6 linked regions of the Tribolium castaneum genome follow. The protein of the gene in region 5 interacts with the protein of the main gene of each other region in a biochemical or structural test. Links are inferred from orthologs where the notes say so. Each region holds a gene or a part of one and is shown on either strand. Other genes may lie near its edges. The genes, in order: Ubi-p63E, CSN5, UbcE2M, Pef, Cul3 and SCCRO3.

Region 1 (4,023 bases), on a different chromosome or scaffold from region 5:
TTTTTTTTGTCTTTAAGTTTTTTATTTTTATGCCTAACGTCAAATTCGATCGGCTGCCAAGTCCGGTTTCTCCGAATATCAATGAAAGTGAAGTCTTTATTTTTAACACTGTATTTAGCTTAACGAATTACTCCAAAATATGTGCAGTCATATGAATAACTTATTTTTTTAAGAATTTGTTGCCTTGTTGGAAATATACCTCAAATCTTTTTTTAATTTCAATTTGTGTGTTGGCGATTTTTGGAGAATTCTCGTGAGCGTACATTCTCGCGGGCCTACAATCTCGTCTAAGCTCCAAATCCAAAGACAAACCAACCCCGTAAAGCCAAATGTTTTAAAATTTTGATAAGCATTTTTTTGAATTAATTCACATGGAGTACTAAAATAAAACACAAGAATTAAGCCATCAATCTTTATTCTCTATTCGTAATTTCAGGAAACTTGTAACAAAAAGTAAAAAAAATATTAAGCATAGAAATTCCAGAAAATTACTGTCCTCCGCGAAGACGTAAGACTAGATGAAGAGTGGATTCCTTTTGGATATTGTAGTCCGAAAGTGTGCGACCATCTTCCAACTGTTTTCCCGCAAAGATCAATCTTTGCTGGTCTGGGGGAATACCTTCCTTATCTTGAATTTTGGCCTTCACATTTTCAATCGTGTCCGATGGCTCAACTTCCAACGTAATTGTTTTCCCAGTCAACGTCTTCACGAAAATTTGCATACCTCCTCGCAGACGCAATACTAAATGTAGGGTTGATTCTTTTTGAATATTATAGTCCGACAGGGTGCGCCCATCTTCGAGTTGTTTGCCAGCAAAGATCAACCTCTGCTGATCTGGAGGAATGCCTTCTTTATCCTGGATTTTAGCTTTAACATTCTCAATTGTGTCTGAGGGTTCTACTTCCAAAGTGATCGTCTTTCCCGTCAAGGTCTTCACGAAAATTTGCATGCCACCTCGGAGACGCAACACCAAGTGGAGAGTGGATTCCTTCTGGATATTGTAATCGGAAAGAGTACGGCCGTCTTCTAGTTGTTTTCCAGCAAAGATCAATCTTTGTTGGTCTGGTGGGATACCCTCTTTGTCTTGAATCTTAGCCTTGACGTTCTCAATTGTATCAGAAGGTTCGACTTCCAGGGTGATGGTTTTGCCAGTCAGAGTTTTAACGAAAATTTGCATGCCACCTCGGAGCCGCAATACTAAGTGGAGTGTTGATTCTTTTTGAATGTTGTAGTCGGAGAGAGTTCGGCCATCTTCGAGCTGTTTGCCGGCGAAGATCAACCTCTGCTGATCTGGGGGAATCCCCTCTTTGTCCTGAATTTTCGCCTTAACGTTTTCGATAGTGTCCGATGGTTCTACTTCCAAAGTGATCGTCTTCCCAGTCAAAGTCTTTACGAAGATTTGCATGCCACCACGGAGACGCAACACCAAGTGGAGGGTCGACTCTTTCTGGATGTTGTAGTCGGAGAGTGTGCGACCATCCTCCAACTGTTTGCCGGCGAAAATCAATCTTTGCTGATCTGGGGGAATCCCCTCTTTGTCCTGAATTTTCGCCTTCACGTTTTCGATTGTGTCCGAAGGTTCGACTTCAAGAGTGATCGTTTTTCCAGTCAAAGTCTTCACGAAAATTTGCATGCCACCTCGGAGACGCAACACCAAGTGGAGGGTGGATTCTTTTTGGATATTGTAGTCGGAAAGAGTACGGCCGTCTTCAAGTTGTTTTCCAGCGAAGATCAATCTTTGTTGGTCTGGTGGGATACCTTCCTTGTCTTGGATCTTGGCCTTAACATTCTCAATGGTATCAGAAGGTTCGACCTCCAAGGTGATGGTCTTGCCAGTCAGGGTTTTGACGAAAATTTGCATGCCACCTCTCAAACGCAATACCAAGTGAAGGGTGGATTCCTTCTGGATGTTGTAATCTGAGAGGGTACGCCCATCTTCTAGTTGTTTCCCGGCAAAGATCAATCTTTGTTGGTCTGGTGGGATCCCTTCCTTATCCTGAATCTTAGCCTTGACGTTTTCAATCGTGTCGGAAGGTTCGACTTCCAAAGTAATGGTTTTCCCAGTCAAGGTCTTGACGAAGATCTGCATGCCTCCCCTCAGACGCAAAACCAAGTGAAGGGTGGATTCCTTCTGGATGTTGTAATCGGACAAGGTGCGTCCGTCTTCGAGTTGTTTACCAGCGAAAATCAAACGCTGTTGATCTGGAGGGATGCCCTCCTTGTCCTGGATCTTGGCTTTGACGTTCTCGATCGTATCAGAGGGCTCAACTTCCAGAGTGATGGTCTTGCCAGTGAGTGTCTTAACGAAGATTTGCATACCGCCCCTCAATCTCAAAACCAAGTGGAGCGTCGATTCCTTCTGGATGTTGTAGTCAGACAAAGTGCGTCCGTCTTCGAGTTGTTTGCCAGCGAAGATCAAACGTTGCTGGTCTGGGGGGATACCTTCCTTGTCCTGGATCTTAGCTTTGACGTTTTCGATGGTATCGGAGGGCTCGACCTCCAAGGTGATGGTTTTACCAGTCAAAGTCTTCACGAAGATCTGCATCTGCAACGACACAAAAAATTACTTTTGTGACAAAGCAAATTTCCAAGCCGCCATATTGGATTTCGTTGAACAAAGAATTACGCACTGAATAAACCGAAAAAACACATTACTCACTATGTGGTTTGGTTTTGAACAGATCGACAAATTTACAAAATTAATTTTGTTAAAATTTAAACAAAAAAACACGTCACTAGGGCGATGTTTTTTCAAACAAATGTTATTGCGTCATGCGAAAAATTTCACAAAATTGCGACTTTCTGCGCTTCTTGCAATCGAATAATTCATGATGAAATTAAAATACATACCTTTACGGCTAGGAAAATTCACAATTTTAATTAAATCGCTTTTGTATTTCACCACTTTTGCTCAGACAATATGGCGAATGCAGCTGTGGAACCGCTTTTATACGGACGGCTTCCCCCACTCCTTTTTAATCTCGAACCCAAAGTACACTTTCTAGAATTTTCGACTAATTATCCAAAAAACGTCCTCTTTAATCAAAAATTTATACATAAACTTTAGTTGCTATCAGTTTAATGCCAATTCGGTTAATCGTGGTCAAAACAATGTTTCAGGTATTAAGAAAATTGCTTTTAATTGAACAAGATTCTAGGGACTTTGGCCAGTAGTTGTTGGTGACATGTCAGCTGATTTTTATCTACGTCGTCAGCTTTATCGATCAGCTGTTTTCTTTGTTTTGGAATTACGCCCTTTTTTATTTTTCAAATTTTAATTTATTTTCCAATTTATGCTTTTCAAACGTTTCAAATAAACCACCCATTAATACCTGCATGAAATGCCAAATTCGTCTGTTCAATTTTGAAAGGAATTTATTTGTTTACAAAGAATTATCCTTATCGTTGTTGTTCTAGAGTCTTGTTTATCATGTAAATACGGACGACAATAATAAATTATGTAAAAGGGTCATTTGGGACAAAGAAAAGTACAGTAATTCATTACAACTTATTTATTCTTCATATTGTAATAGATAAGGCACATTTGTGTCTATAAAATGGAAACAAATATCACATAAAGAGGCAATTATTGTGGCAAACAAACCCCTAAAATATGAAAATTAATTACAAAAATAATGGGCCATTTTACACTACACAGCGTCCATAAAATTAAAACTACAAGAACATGCTACCGAAATTACAGCAACAACAAAAATATTGCATCAGATTGATTATACGCCATAATTTCATACTTCCTATATCAACAATTCAAAATTATGATACTTTAACAAAGCGTAATTCTATTACTTCAACATAAATCTTTCGTCCGCATTATAAAACTAAGCAGTCAACAAATACATTTCATGTTACCTAAAATATACAATTCGGCTTTAACAGTTGCTAAACGTAACGTAGTCCAACTACAAAAATACAGGATAAGACGTGATAAACTTTATAGTTCCAAAACGGTAATAACCGCTTTTGGTAAACATGTTGACATTGGTGATCACCTAAAATTATTT
Region 2 (3,225 bases), on a different chromosome or scaffold from region 5:
ACGGAGGACTATGACTTAGGAGACGGAACGAGATGCAGAATCGTGGGATTTTCTGGACCCAAAAAGTGAAGCAAAAATGTGGGCACTTCGAGCGTTATACCGGCGCCAAGTCGTTTTAAATTAATTTAAATTCATTCAATTATTCACTAATTACTTGAAAAAAAAAATGCAGGAATGTTGAGTTTTGCACTCTGAACAGACTGAGAAAAGCTGATCGTATTCCCAGCGTTTTGAAAAATATGGGATAGAGTGCTAATTGGCAAAGATTGAAATTTTTTTAAATGTAGTTTACGGTATTTTTTTTTCATTATGTTTATGTCTTACTATTGAGAATTTAATGCTCCATTTGCCTGTATTTTTTTGCTGTGTTAACCGATATACGAATACAATTTTTTCAAATCCATTGCTTTGGAAGGGAACGTTTTATTTGTACGACGTTTCGTATCCTAACCTTTAGATATCCGTAGTTTTTTAGGACTAGGTAACCAATAACACACCAATTAGATTATAAATAAATATTTATTAAATCCAAACAAATCAGACAGATTAAAACGCGTTAATGGGTCGAATTATTCAAGGAAGTGCTGTTAAAAAGCCGGTCTTTGATCATTTGGGCCATCAGTCCGTGAATAATCTCAATCGTAGTCTTGCAACTGTCCTTTGTAGCTTTCAACAGTTTGTCTTCTGTTCGTTTTTCGTGCGGATCAGTGCCGCCTACGATGAACCCCCCGCGCCCAATGGCCGCTTCCGACTGTTCCAACTTCTCCGACAAATCAAAAATTTGCCCAGTTGTGTAATCAGCATTCGTTAACAAACTAGACGAGCTCAAAGTATTGACCCAATATTTGTTCCACAAGGAATCAAGCAATCGCCTATCAAGTGACGATTTAAAATACGACACTTCAAGCGAATAATATTGTTTGCAATGCACCCCAAAATCCTCGATTTTGTTCAGAGGAATGGTCTGGTACTCTGACGGTTCCTCATTTGCTGGTTTGTACCCTTTCGGGTACGTCCTGAACGCCCCTAGACACACCTTCCCCGCGGAAATGGTTCTCACAGGATCAATCACAATGGCAACGAACGGTTCCTGGAAATTCTGGTTGAGCATCTGGGTGCCAACGTCAATCCCAGACAACCAGCACCCGTATCCCGGGTGGCTGTGGTACCAGCCTATCGCGTTCTCCTGGCGGCCCACCAGCTTCGCAGCCTCGATGTACGAACTCATGTACTCGTAAGCCTGAGCTTGTGCGTTGACTCGGGTCTCTGTCCCTTCCACAGGCAGCGCAAACGAGTCCATCACAAACATTGTGTTTCCGTCGACTTTGCCCAAAATCAGGCCCATGACCTCCAGGGTGCCCCCCGAACGCGCGTGCATGACCATTTTCAAGAGGGCCAAGGCCGAGATTTTGATATCTTTGAAGAAGTGAGGGCTGGAAATTGAGATTAGGTAAAGTGAGGTTAGGGCCGACTTTTGCCTACTCTTTCTCCCAGGGCTTCGCGGCGAGGATGTCTTGCTGCTGCTTCTTGTCGTAGCGGTAAATATCGTCGACCGAGTTCACCAGTTCGACTTTATTGGCCATTTCCCAGGTTTTTTGTGCGATTTGTTCCTGGGTTTCGGAGGTCCCCGGCTTCGACATTGCGGCAAAAGGGGGCAAAAGCTAATCACAAATGGAGAGTTATTGCGAAAATGACGAGGATTTACCGTAATTCTGGGCTATTTTGGGCAAAAATTCGAAAAAATCGGACCTGTCAAAACACAGATGTCAAATTACAGCGCTACCAATCGTAAATATAAAAACTGGAAGGACACTTTTTTAATTTTTTTTTTTAGATATGGGACGATTTACGTATTAATTGCTGTAATAATGAGACAATGCATAATGGTAATGAAAAAAAATCGATAAATTGTTTGTGGCACAAACCGACAAGGAGTTTTGTCACAGAAAATAATTATTTTACGAGTGGCTTGGCATTTGGTGGCCCGTTATTGCCTTCATTGGGCTATTTTTACCGAATTGTGTTTTTCAAGGTGGGACAGGTGTTCGCAAAGTGTGTTAACAGTCCTGCAGATGTCGTCCCATTAGCGTTTTTCTTTTGTTTTTTTCCCATTTGCACGAAACGACTTTGTGTTGGTTTTTGCGAACGTAAAGCCCGGCCGTAATTCGGTGTAACGTTATGGGAGTATAATTGGAGTCTCATCGTTTAAAACCCATAAACAAGTCCAACCACACCCTGACAGTTTTATTAGGGTGGTTTTTTAGCAGTTGGCAATTCTAAAGCGTCTTAAATCAAACCGACCAATCAGCGGGCGGCATTCGGTGCATAATGGTGGGGCGCCCGCCATTTTGATTCGAGATTATGCGCGTTTTAGTTAAAGAAAAGTTTGTAATAAGTAGTGTGGTAACGTTGTGTTGTAGAATTTGTGCTCGTTTTAAATAGGATTTTAGGAGGATAAGGTGAGTTTTGGGCCAAGTGGTCAATTAAATAGCATATTTTTGGGTCCGGGGGGCGATTTCCGCTAACAAATGCCGGCGAAAATGTCGTAGTTTTCGCGATTTGGGACGTTAGAGTCGAGGGATGCGCGCCGGTTGTCGCAGAATTCAAAAATTGGGGCCATGCTTGAGGCTGGGGGCTGTTGCTAGGCCGCGTTCTTTGTTAGTGCACGTCCCCCGTAATTAGGGGCGAATTCGTGACTTGGGGTCCGAGGGTGAGTCAGGGTGTCGGTGTGGCACCCACATGTCTGTGCCGAAAATCCCCAACGGAACGACCATTGTGGTGCACTTGCATTGTTCGGTTATCGCTTATTTCAAACGCAATTTGTTTATTATCTGTCTTCTTGCAATGTAATACGCGCCTGTAAAAAATTCAAATCCAAGGCCACATACTCGCGTATTGAAACACGATGAATTCCTTTCCTCCCGTTCGAACTAAATTTAGACTAGGGGATTTTACCCCCGAATTAAAAATAACCAGGTTTTTTACGCGTAAACCGGGTTTTTAAACGAGTCCAGATACCACCTGCTGCGAATTTTAAAATAACCGCAAGGATTTCCAGCGAATGCAGCTTTGTTTCAATTTAGGTGAGTTTTTGGTGGGTTCAACGGTATTTCCAACTAGTTTCGTGATGTATAGGCTCTTTGTAGTGCGGATAATGTTCTAAGCTGTGACAGTTTCAAGATTAATTTTGACTCCCAACCGGTTATTCTCCAGTAAAAGTTTACG
Region 3 (2,841 bases), on a different chromosome or scaffold from region 5:
TCAGAGGAAAGCAGCCAAAGAAAGTAAAAGAATTGAACAATCGGGAGGTAAAATTATATGATAGTGTTGGGGGAATAACAAATTAATTTTGTTTGTCCAGGTTTTATGTTTACACAACATGAAGTACCCACAACTTTTAAGTTTGGCGCTCCAAAACCGTCATGAATATATGTGACGTGGTGTGTAAAATTTTTGTGACTGAATGTAAAATTGACTGTTAAGACCAGTGAAATGATGTACAGTTGGTAATTTAATCTTTTTTAATTTTTATTAAGTGCCTTTTTATTAAACAAAAAAAAAACGGATGTAAACGATTTAAATTTACCTAATATAGATTTAAATGGAAGTTTATTTTCCGTGTAATTGTAATTATTTTTCGACTGTGTCTCTTTTGTCTCATTTGTTTTCTTCTTTAGGGAAAGACAATGTAGTAAATTACATTATTTCTATAATATACTGAAAGGTGTTAAGTTATTGCATTTTAATAAAGAATTGCTTCGAATTTTTGTAGATTTTTATTATGAAAAATTATCTATTTTCTTAATTAAATCAGTTACATTTCACTGAGGAGAAATTACAACACACCGCTTTGTGGTGCTTTACGCTGGAGTGAGATATGATGATCACAATAGAACGATTGAGATGAAAAAGCCAAATAAAACAACATAGTGGTAGCTTTAATAAACGAAATTAGTAATTAGGTATGCAAGAATCACTCGAGTGTCCTCGTCAACGAGCATAAAACAGTAAACTTATAAATAAGTTCTTTACACATAAGAATCACTTGAGACAGCGGTCGAAATAAGTACTGCCAACATACCCTCCACGCATCGCCTTCTGGACGTTCTGCTCAAACAGCCGCCTGTTGGTCGTGAGCACTTCAGCCGCTTCCTTGTTCAAAGGATCCTCTGGATTGGGTTCAAGGAACAAATACTGCAGTCCATAGACGATACTGTTGATAGTCAGTACGGGCTTCCAATCCTCCCTTAAAATGTTCAAGCACACGTTGCCCTGTTGGTCGATGTTGGGGTGGTAGACCTGTGTCTCGCATTTGACTTTGGGGGGCTCATGCGGGTAATTGGGGCCCACTTTGAAACTGAATACGAACCTCCCTGTCTTGTAGAAACCCTAAACGTCCCCCCAATTAACCACAACCCCACACACTAATCCACAACTAACCTCATCCGGACAAATCACCAGTTTGAAAGACAGCAAGTCGTCCGGATCGGGAAACTCCGTCGTGCAGGTCTTGGGCAGGTTCAGCTCGTTGATATCTGCAAAGGGAGGGTCAAAATGGGGGCGCAATGACTCACAACCAACCTTTCGTAATCCTCAACTGGGCTGCAGAGGCTTTCTTTTGATTTCCTGGTCGCGGTGAGGCTTCTCCATCTTTTTTCTGTTGCTTCAGCGAGAATAGTTTTATCATATTTGGCTGGCGCAGGGGTGGTGAGGGGTCAGAGCAATGTAATTTACTGCGAGCACACTTTACAAAAACATGGGAAAGTCGAGTTTATTCGATTGCTTTTTGCAAGAGAATTTTTCACACATCTGTCAATGTCAAAACTGTCAATGGGACATGCAGGAATTTACTTTACCATCGGAACGAATTCTTAATGAAAAAATTTAAAAAATTCATTTATTGCTAATGCTAAGAATTTTTCTGCAAAGCACTTAATCAAAAGATCCAAATCAATAAAGCAGACCATCAGAAGACTATGTTCAAAGCTATTTAAATTAATTTATTTCGTGCCGTTGTTATTACATTGGTACTACTGGTGCGTTTGTCATCCTCTGCGGATTTTTCGCGTCTTGAGTTGTTGAAATTCGTAAAATTATTCTGTGAAACGAATTATTTCGGTTTAGGAGCGTTTTAGAACTGTTCGTTATTGTGTTTTTAGTTTGTGTATTAGTTTGTTGACCACCAGACCACAGATGAACATTGAAACGAATGTTTGCAGTTACTCAAAGGTAAGTGTACACATTTCTAATTTATTTGTTAATATAAATCCAACCCTAATATTTTAAAGCATCGTTATTGAAATTTTATACGGTACTACATTTTGACGCGCAGAGCAACTTTTGCAAAGTTTGGGCCACGGGTTTGAGCCGTCGCGTCGTCTTCGTTAATTGTCATTCAACTATCAACGCAGACGACGCGACGGTTTGAGCAATTTTAATTTTTTTACGAAATTATTAATTAAAAAATATTTTAGCATTTTGCCTAAAATATTGTAATATTTAAATTAAAATTGAGTTTTCATGAATATGGGGTTTGTTGTCTAAAGTGATAGATAGCAGAGGAGATAACCATCTGACTCATCTGAGTGTAAAAAACAAATTTAGTGCTTTTCTGAATTGATAATTTTCCAAGTTTCTTAAAAAAAATTGGAAATGCAGTCATTTCACACAAAGTCTCATCACTCATCACGTCATCAGTTATCACATTTTATGAGCTTTGAAAAGTACGACACTCTAGAGACTATTTTGAACCCAAATAAATATGGTCTGTAATGTAACCATTTTACAGACGACTTCAGAGAAATGGCTTTTCTAGTTATCAATCAATAATTCATTAATTTAAAAAGCTTGTATTTTTCGTTTATTAATATTGTTTGTTTGATCCTATATCTAATTTTAGGAAAAAAATTGTGTTAAATAAAAATTATTGTGCAATTATTCTTGCATATTATCTGCAAATAATATTATATCACATCAGTTCCTTTTAAAAAGCACCAGTCATTACATTTAATTTTTGATGATCCATCACAACAATTATTACGAATTAAATGAGACTTAGTCAAAGTAGATATTTTTCTCCATGCTGTTATGAGGTGTAAAAAA
Region 4 (2,652 bases), on a different chromosome or scaffold from region 5:
AGGGCACAATAATGACGCTTATTAATATAAAAATATATTTGAAAAGTTTGTACTTCTTCACTTAGGATTAAAATTTGCTGTAGCATGTTTTAGCTGTGATTTGTTTCGACGTTTTATACTGAAACTTTACAGGGACATTGGCCAATGCTTGTAGATTAATTCAGTTACGTTTCACAAGTGAATTTTAACGGCAACTTGTACTTACAACGACCACACTATAATCCTAACGTTTTTATAATATCAAGTAGAAAAAAACGCCTAACAAACAATCAACGACTTTAAAAATGTGCTGCTGAAATTCACTTTTAATCAGTAGACTATACTATAAAATTTAGCTATTTAAAAATGTACGTAAAATAATGTGATTAATTTATAGATACGACAGTAATATTTTTTGACCCGACCCATTGCCTACTGTTGTTACAATAAGTATTTGTTTGCTTAAAAATGATGTGGAACATCTATACTGTACGGGATTTTTAATAAAACATTTTAGAGACTAAGTTTTATTAGTTTTATTGTTCCTACAAAATTAACCCTAGTAATGGAATTAAACGAATTAAATAGTAAATCATGTGGAACAGTTTATCGCGACACTGAGAAAATCTTCAAATCCAATTGTAATAACCCCCTTCATTTCACTGTCCCTTGATCGGAAAGCTTCAGTGAACCGCTGGATTTGCACGCAAAGTACGATAAATTGGTCTACTGACATTTGTTTGTGGTTTTGAAGGTCGCTTTTAGCAATTAAAAATTTTACGAAATCGGGGGAAAATTTAAATCCCATCTGTTGCAACGCTAAAAATAAAATAAGATCCAGCAATAATTCTATTAACACCGACATTCTTTAAATATTTCCGGGAATAAATGTAGATGAGTTGAAGATTACCTTGGGCAAGTTCTGGCTCCTCAATGTGTCCTGACTGGTCCCTATCATAATTTTTAAATACAGCCAACCATTGATTAATGTATGCGAAGAGTTGTTGGAATTCGTTAATATCAATTGTCCCTGTCTTATCCCTATCAAACATCCCAATCATAAGCTTGCAAGCGACGTCTGAAAAATTCTTCCCCTGGCCATTGATAAGAGCACTTTGTAGTTCTTGCCAATTTATTTGACCAGAACGATCCTTATCTACTGTATTAAACCACTGCTGAACATCCGGAGTTGCAGCTCCTTGACCGTACCCAGGGGCAGCCCCACCAGGATATCCTTGGTATCCACTCCCGGGATTCTATTTAACGAGTAACATGCATAATACAATTTATTACAGTTCTCTAATAGGTACTTACACCGTACATTATGCTTGTGGCATGTACAATTACAAAAAAATATTAGAAATTAACGCACATTTATATAAACAAATAATCACCAAGAACTGTCAACTGTTAACCTCTTATTCTATGGTAACAGTCAGTAACAACGCTTCTAGAGCCATCTGGAGCGGAAATATCCTATTACCACAGAATAGCGCTACGTTTGATTTTTGACTCCGGAGTTATTAAGCTTAGCGTCAGAAAGCTCCTTTAATTGTCTATTAAAAAAAGACCATTGCCTTGCAACTAGGAGTTTTTGAGAATATTGCTAACAGAAGTAAAAATTGGTAAAATATATAGATATTTATAACTTGAAAACTAGGTATTACGAATTTTCGTATTTTCTTGAAACTAATTAATTTTCCAGATTATTTTACATACAATAGTTTTGCTGGAAGTAATTAACAAAATATAAAAAATAAAAATTTTCGAAGAAAATCTATTTAAATTTATTCCAGCTTATAGAGTTTGACGCACTCTTTACGATGGAATAAAACTTTTTGTCTTAGCTCTTTTGTTTTGGCCACAAACGGCTTTATTTTTTTTGTTATTTTTTTATTACTATTTAGTTTAAAATCATGTATTACATCTAATTCTTCAATTTCGTAGTTATTTTATTTAACATCTTAAAATTTTTTGTTCCAGTATTTCAGCTTTTAGTTCCTTAATTTCTCCACATTATTTCATAATATTCATTTTTCCTAAATCTTTTAGCCTTTCGTGGTTTTTCTATCTTATCTTATTAATGTTCTTACTCATTACAGTTTCTTTGTTTTTAATTATCACTCTTTCAGTCACTTAGATCTACAGAATTTTAATTTCAATGTTTTTTAAGTTTTTTTTCCATTTTTGAATTATGCATACTCTAATTCTATATTAAGTTATTTTTTGATTATAAACAAATTTTCTATCTTATAAAATTTTTGTATTAACCTTGATTTTGGAATAAAAAATAATTTACGCAAAAGTGTCAAAATTGCAGTGTTCGCCAATTGTTAATTTTGATTTTAAAAATTTATTTATTTTAATTATTATGATTGTAATTATTAATTTTTTGTAGAATTTAATTAGTTGTGTAAAAATCCTCCTTTTCTAGGTTTCTTAGTTTTTGTGTAATCATTAATTAATTAAAAAAAACTGTGTTTCCGTCAAAGGAATCAAAATAATTCGAAAACTAAGCGGAATCGTCCATTTTATTTGCAATTCCGTTCCGAGATAGACCGACCCTATAAAACCGGTTGATTTGTCCCAGGAATGAGTAATTGACCAATAAAAATATAAAAATCACCTCCTACTTGTTTATCTGCTGCACAAAAAATTGCAAGACGATTGAAG
Region 5 (3,500 bases):
CCGACTCGTTTAAAATCTCCTCATAGGTTAATTTCTCATGGTTGTTGAACAGCATTAAAACGACCATTTGGTAGGTGGACACTTGGATTATGTGCTTTCTGGGGCCTGTCCGCGGCGAAATGGAGCTGGTCGACGAACACGCCCCGTCTTTGTCGGGGTCTTCCTTTTTCGGACCGAAAAATATGGCATTGAGATCGGCGTTGCCCAACTGGGGTTGTAACGTCAACTGCCTTCCGCTATGTTTGGCTAAATAAAATCTACCACAGAGGGGGTTTAGAAAAAAAATGGTTTCGAGTTGAGTGGTTTACCAACCTACTAAAACATTCGAAGGCAGCTAGTGGAACAGCAGGAATGTGGCACTTGGGAGTGGCGCTCTGCGTAGGCCAGAACCCGGTCGTTAAGACGCGCATGAAAAGGTCCACCCCGCATAAGCTTGACTGTGGATATGTAAAAATTAAAAATTGCATACAAGTTTTTTTCTACAATTTTAATACCTCAGTTTTGGTGATATGATCCTTAAACTCGTCCATGATCGTGTTTGAAACTGTCATATCTTTGAACATGCCTTCAAGTTTTGACGTGAACTGACAACCGCACTCAGTCTAAAACAAAATAAAAATTATTTAACAATTATTATTATTATGACAATCAACAAATAAAGTGAAGGGCTTGGTGTAAGTTAACGCAGAATTTAACAATGAAATTATTGTGTAAAATAAAAATCTTTTAAAAGCATTAATCCTCTAGTCTCTTTTTATACAGAGTGATTCAGAAGTCTCGGACCATTTCTTGGGTAATGTTAAAAAGAAAGATCAAGCTAAGTGAAAAGTAAAATTAAGGATTTTTTAACGGCTCAAAAGCTTTAATGCTTTTACTTTTTATCGAGTCATTGCAAAAGAAATACCATAACAAGTTGTAAAAAATTGTTCAGCTGTCTTATGCAGACCAAATAAGGAAAGTAGTTTTGACGTCGTAAAAAATCTTTTTAATGTTATGTCTTCGATAAATTTACATTTCTCTCAGTCAGTCTTATAGAAGAGCTTTAATTCAAACGTTTGAGACAGAGAAGACATTAGTATAGTGCAGTCAAAAAAGCGTTCATATTAAAGTTTGGAGCAACTACTTATGATTATGAAAAAAACTGAATCAAAAATATTGTTTTTTGGACAGAGTTAAAAAATTCAAATAAAGGGTTTTTTCAATGTTGTTCAAAATAGGTAAGAGCTAAGAGCTAGGAACAATATAAAAAATCTAAATAAAAAAATGTAAAGCAAAACATTCTACATAAACATGTTTTGATTTTTTTGATATTAAAATTAACCGAGTTAGAAGGTGCTTAAAAGTAAAGAATGATAGGTAACAACTTAAAAAAATGGGAAAATTTTGTGATTACATCTTCATATCTTCCTTCTGAACAAAGCTATAAACTTCATATTTTTTGCAAAAGATTTCTCAATAAATGTAGATTCCAACGAATATAACACAAGTTTTAGTCTTAACAAAAGAAAGTTGAAAAAAATTGCTGTTTTCTTGTAACGTGTCACGTCTGGTTAATGATTTTTTTTGAGAAGCAAGAATGTTTTTTTTAAGACTCCTACATAACCGAGATAAAATAAAAGTTAAATTTCAAATAACTGCAAGATTCAAAATGCAGCATAGTTGAAGTTAAAGTGAGAACGCAAATAGTCAAGAAACAAAATTTCATCAAACTTCCATCGTTTTACAAGTTTTAGATCTACAAAAAAAACTACTAAAATCACTGAAAAAAATAATTGTAGATTCATAATCTATTCGTGTTGCAGAATGGTGCAAAGATAGTTTGGCTATTGTAACTGTAATATAAATATTTGATTTTAACAGTTCGGTGATGTTGATTTTTTTCTAATTAAAGTTCAAAATTTTTTCTCCATAAATAATTGTCTACCAAAGTTATATACCTGTTTTTTATTGAAAAAAACATTGTAGTGCAAATGACGAACCTGTTACAATGACAACTCACTATAAAAATTTTTTGCACCACAATGGACAATTGCAATAATTGCAAGGATCGACTTTATGACCAATACCCTTATTAAAGTGTGTAATGAATTTTTAATTAAAGATTTTTTCAAAAATTTACACTATTTGTTCTAACCGTTACTTCTGAACGACTTTTGCAGTCTTTTGGAGGAAGAGTTTCTAATGATGATTTATTAATTACTATGAGAATTTCTCTGTTAGTATTTTTTTTAAATTTGTTACAAGTGTAAGAATTTTGTAAGGTGTTTTGGTTAGTTTTTCCGACAGTGTTTTGGGTCTCAGTGACAACAAAAAAAATCTCCACGTGGTACTTTAAAAATACCCCATTGAAGTCTGTACTGGACTTTTATTAAATTAGAGAAAATTCCATTAATTTTTTTTAGTTTAGATTTTTTTTTTGATGTTTATACTTTGAAGACAATTATTCCGATTGTTTTCAAATTAATAAACACGCAGTTTGCAATAAAAAAACCGAATAATTTTTTTTTAATTTAGGAGAATTTTTTTAAAGGATCTTTTGCAATCTGATATTTGGAAGACATTATTATCTGATTGTCTTCAAATAAATGTACGCGCTGTTTGTAATTAAAGTGTTGAATTTTTGACTTAGTTTTTCTAATAGTTTGCAACTTCAATAACAAACATGAACTATTTTTTCAAATTTTATTATATTTCGAAAATTTGTTGAAATTATTAACCGAAACAACTGCTGTAACATCCTGTATTGGTAAAAATGTGTTGAAAATATTTGTAATTACGAAACTAGTCAAAAAAAATGTAAACGACTACTTAGCCTGACCCACAAACAAGATAAAGTTTGCAATAAATCGTTTATCTCAATTGCCTTTTTTTCAATATTATTAATTAGTAGTTGACTAAAATCCATCCTGGATGTTATATAAATAATGTGTAAAGCGTCTTGCACGGAATTAATTTGTGGTATTATTGTTTCAAGGTTGTTGATAAGTCGTATCAGAAAGAGAAACCTTGATATAAATTTAGACAGACGCTGTATGTTTCTGATATAAACACACAACTCACGTGACAAGTTCACGGTTAATATTTTTTACCTTTAACTTTGAAATCATATTTTTCTCCCAATCGTCGCTAACCGACTTATTCAAAAGTAATCGCTTGGCCAAGTGTTGTTTGTAATAGCGTTCGAAAACGTCTTTCTCTTGAAGGAACCTAAAGAGTACCATGGACTTGTCAAGAACCAATTCAATTTCTTGTTCGGACATCTGAAACGAAAGTTATAACACCGAGTTTTCCCCCTTGCAAGTTACCCACCCCTTTGACGCCTTTTTTTAATTTATCATCTATAAATAAGGAGAGGTATTCGGGCGATTTCGGGTTGAGATTGAGAAAATGTTCGAAATCTGAGGCGATCATCTGTTTGAAGATCTTATCGTTATTGAACGAATTCTTCAAGAAATGATCGAACCGATCCTTCAGATCTAGCAACGACTGGACGAATGTTA
Region 6 (2,664 bases), on a different chromosome or scaffold from region 5:
ACAACCGTTTTTTGCACGAATTGATAGATATTTATCACAAACAAATGTAGGCTATTTTGTAAAAACGAATTCGGGACGTTAATGTTTGATTTTTTTGAGACAAATGATGTAAACTTCATTTTAAAAAACTGTTGCAAGTTTCCATATTTAACACTTCCTTTCTAAATCTCTTATTCAAAAAAAAAAAAATATATTAATTTTTCCGTATGAGTGTTATTCAATTTTTAAAATAGTGAAAACACGTTGCTATGGTAAATAGTGTTCATAATCTATGATTCAAATATTAAATAGAAGGCTTAAAATGTTACCAAGAAAAACTAACGACTAAAATTTTCATATGAAATATGAGAAGAAAAATTATATAAAATTTGCGCTCTCTGGCGAGATTTAATAGAACTATCGAGGATGGGAACGTTTTATTTGTACGCCGCGTCATCTCCTAACCTTTAGGTATCCGTAGTAAGTCGAGGTGTGAAGGACGGGCGCATCACTGCGTCCAATTAAATAATCATACTGTTTATTCACAAAACATTCAAATATACAGTAATATCTACAATTAAAAAATCTAAATAAATATATTGATAGAATAATGAAGTAATAAAAATAAGACAGTTAAAATCAGAGCACCTAAAATGACCTTTCAGTCTTACACGAAAAATTCCAAATAGAACATATCACAAAAAAGGAAAAACCGACAGCTCGCGAATTTAGCTTCCAACAAGAGACCGAATTAATACTGAACACACCGATAATTTAGCATAAAAATCAATAGCGGCCTAGTCCTGAGTCACGACGCATAAAAAAATAACATCTCCACAATAAAATTAATGGACGAGTGAACCGAATTTAAGTAAAAAATGTAGGCACGTTTCTTGCCTATCTCTCACTTCCGTTATATAAAACCATCAGACGACACATCCAAAGCAAATAGCGCGCGCGCAAAACTGCATGATCAAACGTACGTTCATAGAAAAATTTCCTTGTTGCACACCTCACCACTACGCAAATATCACGACCGGCGGGGTCTTCGCCCCGTCAAAAATATATAGGCAGTTTTATATACAAGACGCCCGAACCACCATCAATCGTTCTGCTCGATGATGATCAGCCCTTCGCAGTCCTTGTCTTTGGAAATGTTTTGGTTGGCTTGGTCGTTCTCGTACTCGACGAAGTCGTCGAACAGGCTCGGCCACGCCTCGTTGTCGTCGTAACAACTCAAGTCGTCGCCCACGGCTTCGGCGAAATTCAAAAACATGTTCCACGTGTCGCGGGGAATCCCCCGAACCGACTGGTGACTCTCGAGGAACGACAGCCAGCGCGCGAGGATCGGGGGTTCCCGCATTGTGAACACCAGCCGCCACAGCACCACCGCCATGTCCGTCGGCAGGATTCGCTGCCCCGCCGCAGAATCCAGGCCGAACCGGAAGGTAAACCTGTGGCGTAGCAAGAAAAAGCGATAAAATTATGATAACTTACAAACACTTCATCATTTTCAAATGCGGCTTTCATGACAGCATCTACAATTCTGATGTACTTTTAGGGCTTGTTAACTTTTTTTAGGATTTTTAAAACAATGTATAATCGGGCGTTTTAGAAAAAGCCTAGTAATATTGCAAACGACCGGGAAATCGAATGAATAAATAATTGCAAGATTTTTACGATACGACTGGAAATTTTAAGTGTATTATAAAATACCTAACAAGTTTCCGTCTTATTGACGGAATGGTTTTTATTATTATCCATTTAGAAAATAATACCAGGTTACAAAATCAATCGTTTTGTAAAGGATTGAAAAATACAGTCAGACCTTTCATAAAGTACCACTTTCTTACTTATATATTGAGAAAAAAAATGCACCCCAAATTTAAATTTATTCGTCGACTAAAACCTTATAGCTCAATAACATTCGGATAAGGAAAGTTGAGGTATTTTCACTTTTTTTCTTTACTTATCACCGTAAAATTATTATAGTTCTTGATAATCCCTTATTGATGAAGGCATTGCAGTAAGAGAATCTGGAAGGGGCTAAAAAATTACACCAATTTTCGGAAGTAGAAAATCCGTTGACAACGAAGTACAGACTAGGAGACGATATCCAGAAATACAATTTTTCTACGCTCAAAGGAAAGCGAAAAAAATTCTGAGGCAAAATACTCAAGTTTAAAGATGTCAGTGGAGATTTTTCACAATATTCGAAACAACTATGAAGAGACGGAAAGTATTTTCTACAAACTAACTTAAAGGCTTTTGTATTTATACAATAAAGCAACCAGAAAAATTTAAAATACATCCCCGCGCGTCTAAAGGTTGGACACTTATTTAGTTTAAAAATTTTCCCTCTGTATATACCGGGTGCTCAAAAACCGGCGCACGAATTTAATGAAGTGAGGCAGAGAATCGCTTACATATAATGATAAAAATAGTAAAAAAATTCTTTGTATTAATGTTATTGATAAATAACGAATTTTAAATAAATGATATGTGCCAACGTTGTCTAACAGTCGTGAGCGCAATAGAATTTGATCAACAATAAAAATAAATTATTTTTGAAACAGTGTCCTAGGAAATAATTCCCACTGTTGGCACATCTACAAACTGTGATTTTTTTATGAATTTTATTTTTTATTAAATTAAAAAAAACTGCTAAAGTCTGATAGGAAATTT

What was found.
Region 1: the proteins of Cul3 (region 5) and Ubi-p63E form a complex in vitro, tested with the Homo sapiens proteins (2 studies listed by BioGRID, with this or other methods). The link is inferred for Tribolium castaneum from reciprocal best matches to the Homo sapiens genes CUL3 and UBC.
Region 2: of the proteins of Cul3 (region 5) and CSN5, one has a biochemical effect on the other in vitro, tested with the Homo sapiens proteins (2 studies listed by BioGRID). The link is inferred for Tribolium castaneum from reciprocal best matches to the Homo sapiens genes CUL3 and COPS5.
Region 3: the proteins of Cul3 (region 5) and UbcE2M form a complex in vitro, tested with the Homo sapiens proteins (2 studies listed by BioGRID, with this or other methods). The link is inferred for Tribolium castaneum from reciprocal best matches to the Homo sapiens genes CUL3 and UBE2M.
Region 4: the proteins of Cul3 (region 5) and Pef form a complex in vitro, tested with the Homo sapiens proteins (2 studies listed by BioGRID). The link is inferred for Tribolium castaneum from reciprocal best matches to the Homo sapiens genes CUL3 and PEF1.
Region 6: the proteins of Cul3 (region 5) and SCCRO3 form a complex in vitro, tested with the Homo sapiens proteins (3 studies listed by BioGRID, with this or other methods). The link is inferred for Tribolium castaneum from reciprocal best matches to the Homo sapiens genes CUL3 and DCUN1D3.

What each region holds. Positions count from the first base shown.
Region 1 is NC_087396.1:13,943,084-13,947,106, reverse strand, and holds Ubi-p63E (polyubiquitin), read right to left. Parts: upstream 2,801-4,023; 5' UTR 2,661-2,800; intron 2,547-2,660; coding exon 489-2,546; 3' UTR 399-488; downstream 1-398.
Region 2 is NC_087395.1:23,654,608-23,657,832, forward strand, and holds CSN5 (COP9 signalosome complex subunit 5), read right to left. Parts: upstream 2,027-3,225; 5' UTR 1,706-2,026; exon of another isoform or gene 1,662-1,705; 5' UTR 1,641-1,661; coding exon 1,483-1,640; intron 1,434-1,482; coding exon 557-1,433; 3' UTR 501-556; downstream 1-500. UniProt on the Homo sapiens protein: Probable protease subunit of the COP9 signalosome complex (CSN), a complex involved in various cellular and developmental processes.
Region 3 is NC_087394.1:37,270,882-37,273,722, forward strand, and holds UbcE2M (NEDD8-conjugating enzyme Ubc12), read right to left. Parts: upstream 1,599-2,841; 5' UTR 1,427-1,598; coding exon 1,321-1,426; intron 1,275-1,320; coding exon 1,180-1,274; intron 1,129-1,179; coding exon 781-1,128; 3' UTR 501-780; downstream 1-500. Other genes in the region: msk (importin-7), read left to right, coding at 1-47, 101-165.
Region 4 is NC_087403.1:4,842,524-4,845,175, forward strand, and holds Pef (peflin), read right to left. Parts: upstream 1,451-2,652; 5' UTR 1,303-1,450; coding exon 1,294-1,302; intron 1,236-1,293; coding exon 890-1,235; intron 799-889; coding exon 572-798; 3' UTR 501-571; downstream 1-500. UniProt on the Homo sapiens protein: Calcium-binding protein that acts as an adapter that bridges unrelated proteins or stabilizes weak protein-protein complexes in response to calcium.
Region 5 is NC_087398.1:13,274,765-13,278,264, reverse strand, and holds part of Cul3 (cullin-3), read right to left. Parts: coding exon 3,310-3,500; intron 3,261-3,309; coding exon 3,090-3,260; intron 603-3,089; coding exon 495-602; intron 438-494; coding exon 313-437; intron 258-312; coding exon 1-257. UniProt on the Homo sapiens protein: Core component of multiple cullin-RING-based BCR (BTB-CUL3-RBX1) E3 ubiquitin-protein ligase complexes which mediate the ubiquitination and subsequent proteasomal degradation of target proteins.
Region 6 is NC_087399.1:5,912,494-5,915,157, forward strand, and holds the end of SCCRO3 (DCN1-like protein 3), read right to left. Parts: intron 1,434-2,664; coding exon 1,082-1,433; 3' UTR 501-1,081; downstream 1-500. UniProt on the Homo sapiens protein: Contributes to the neddylation of all cullins by transferring NEDD8 from N-terminally acetylated NEDD8-conjugating E2s enzyme to different cullin C-terminal domain-RBX complexes and may play a role in the cell cycle progression by regulating the SCF ubiquitin E3 ligase complex, after UV damage.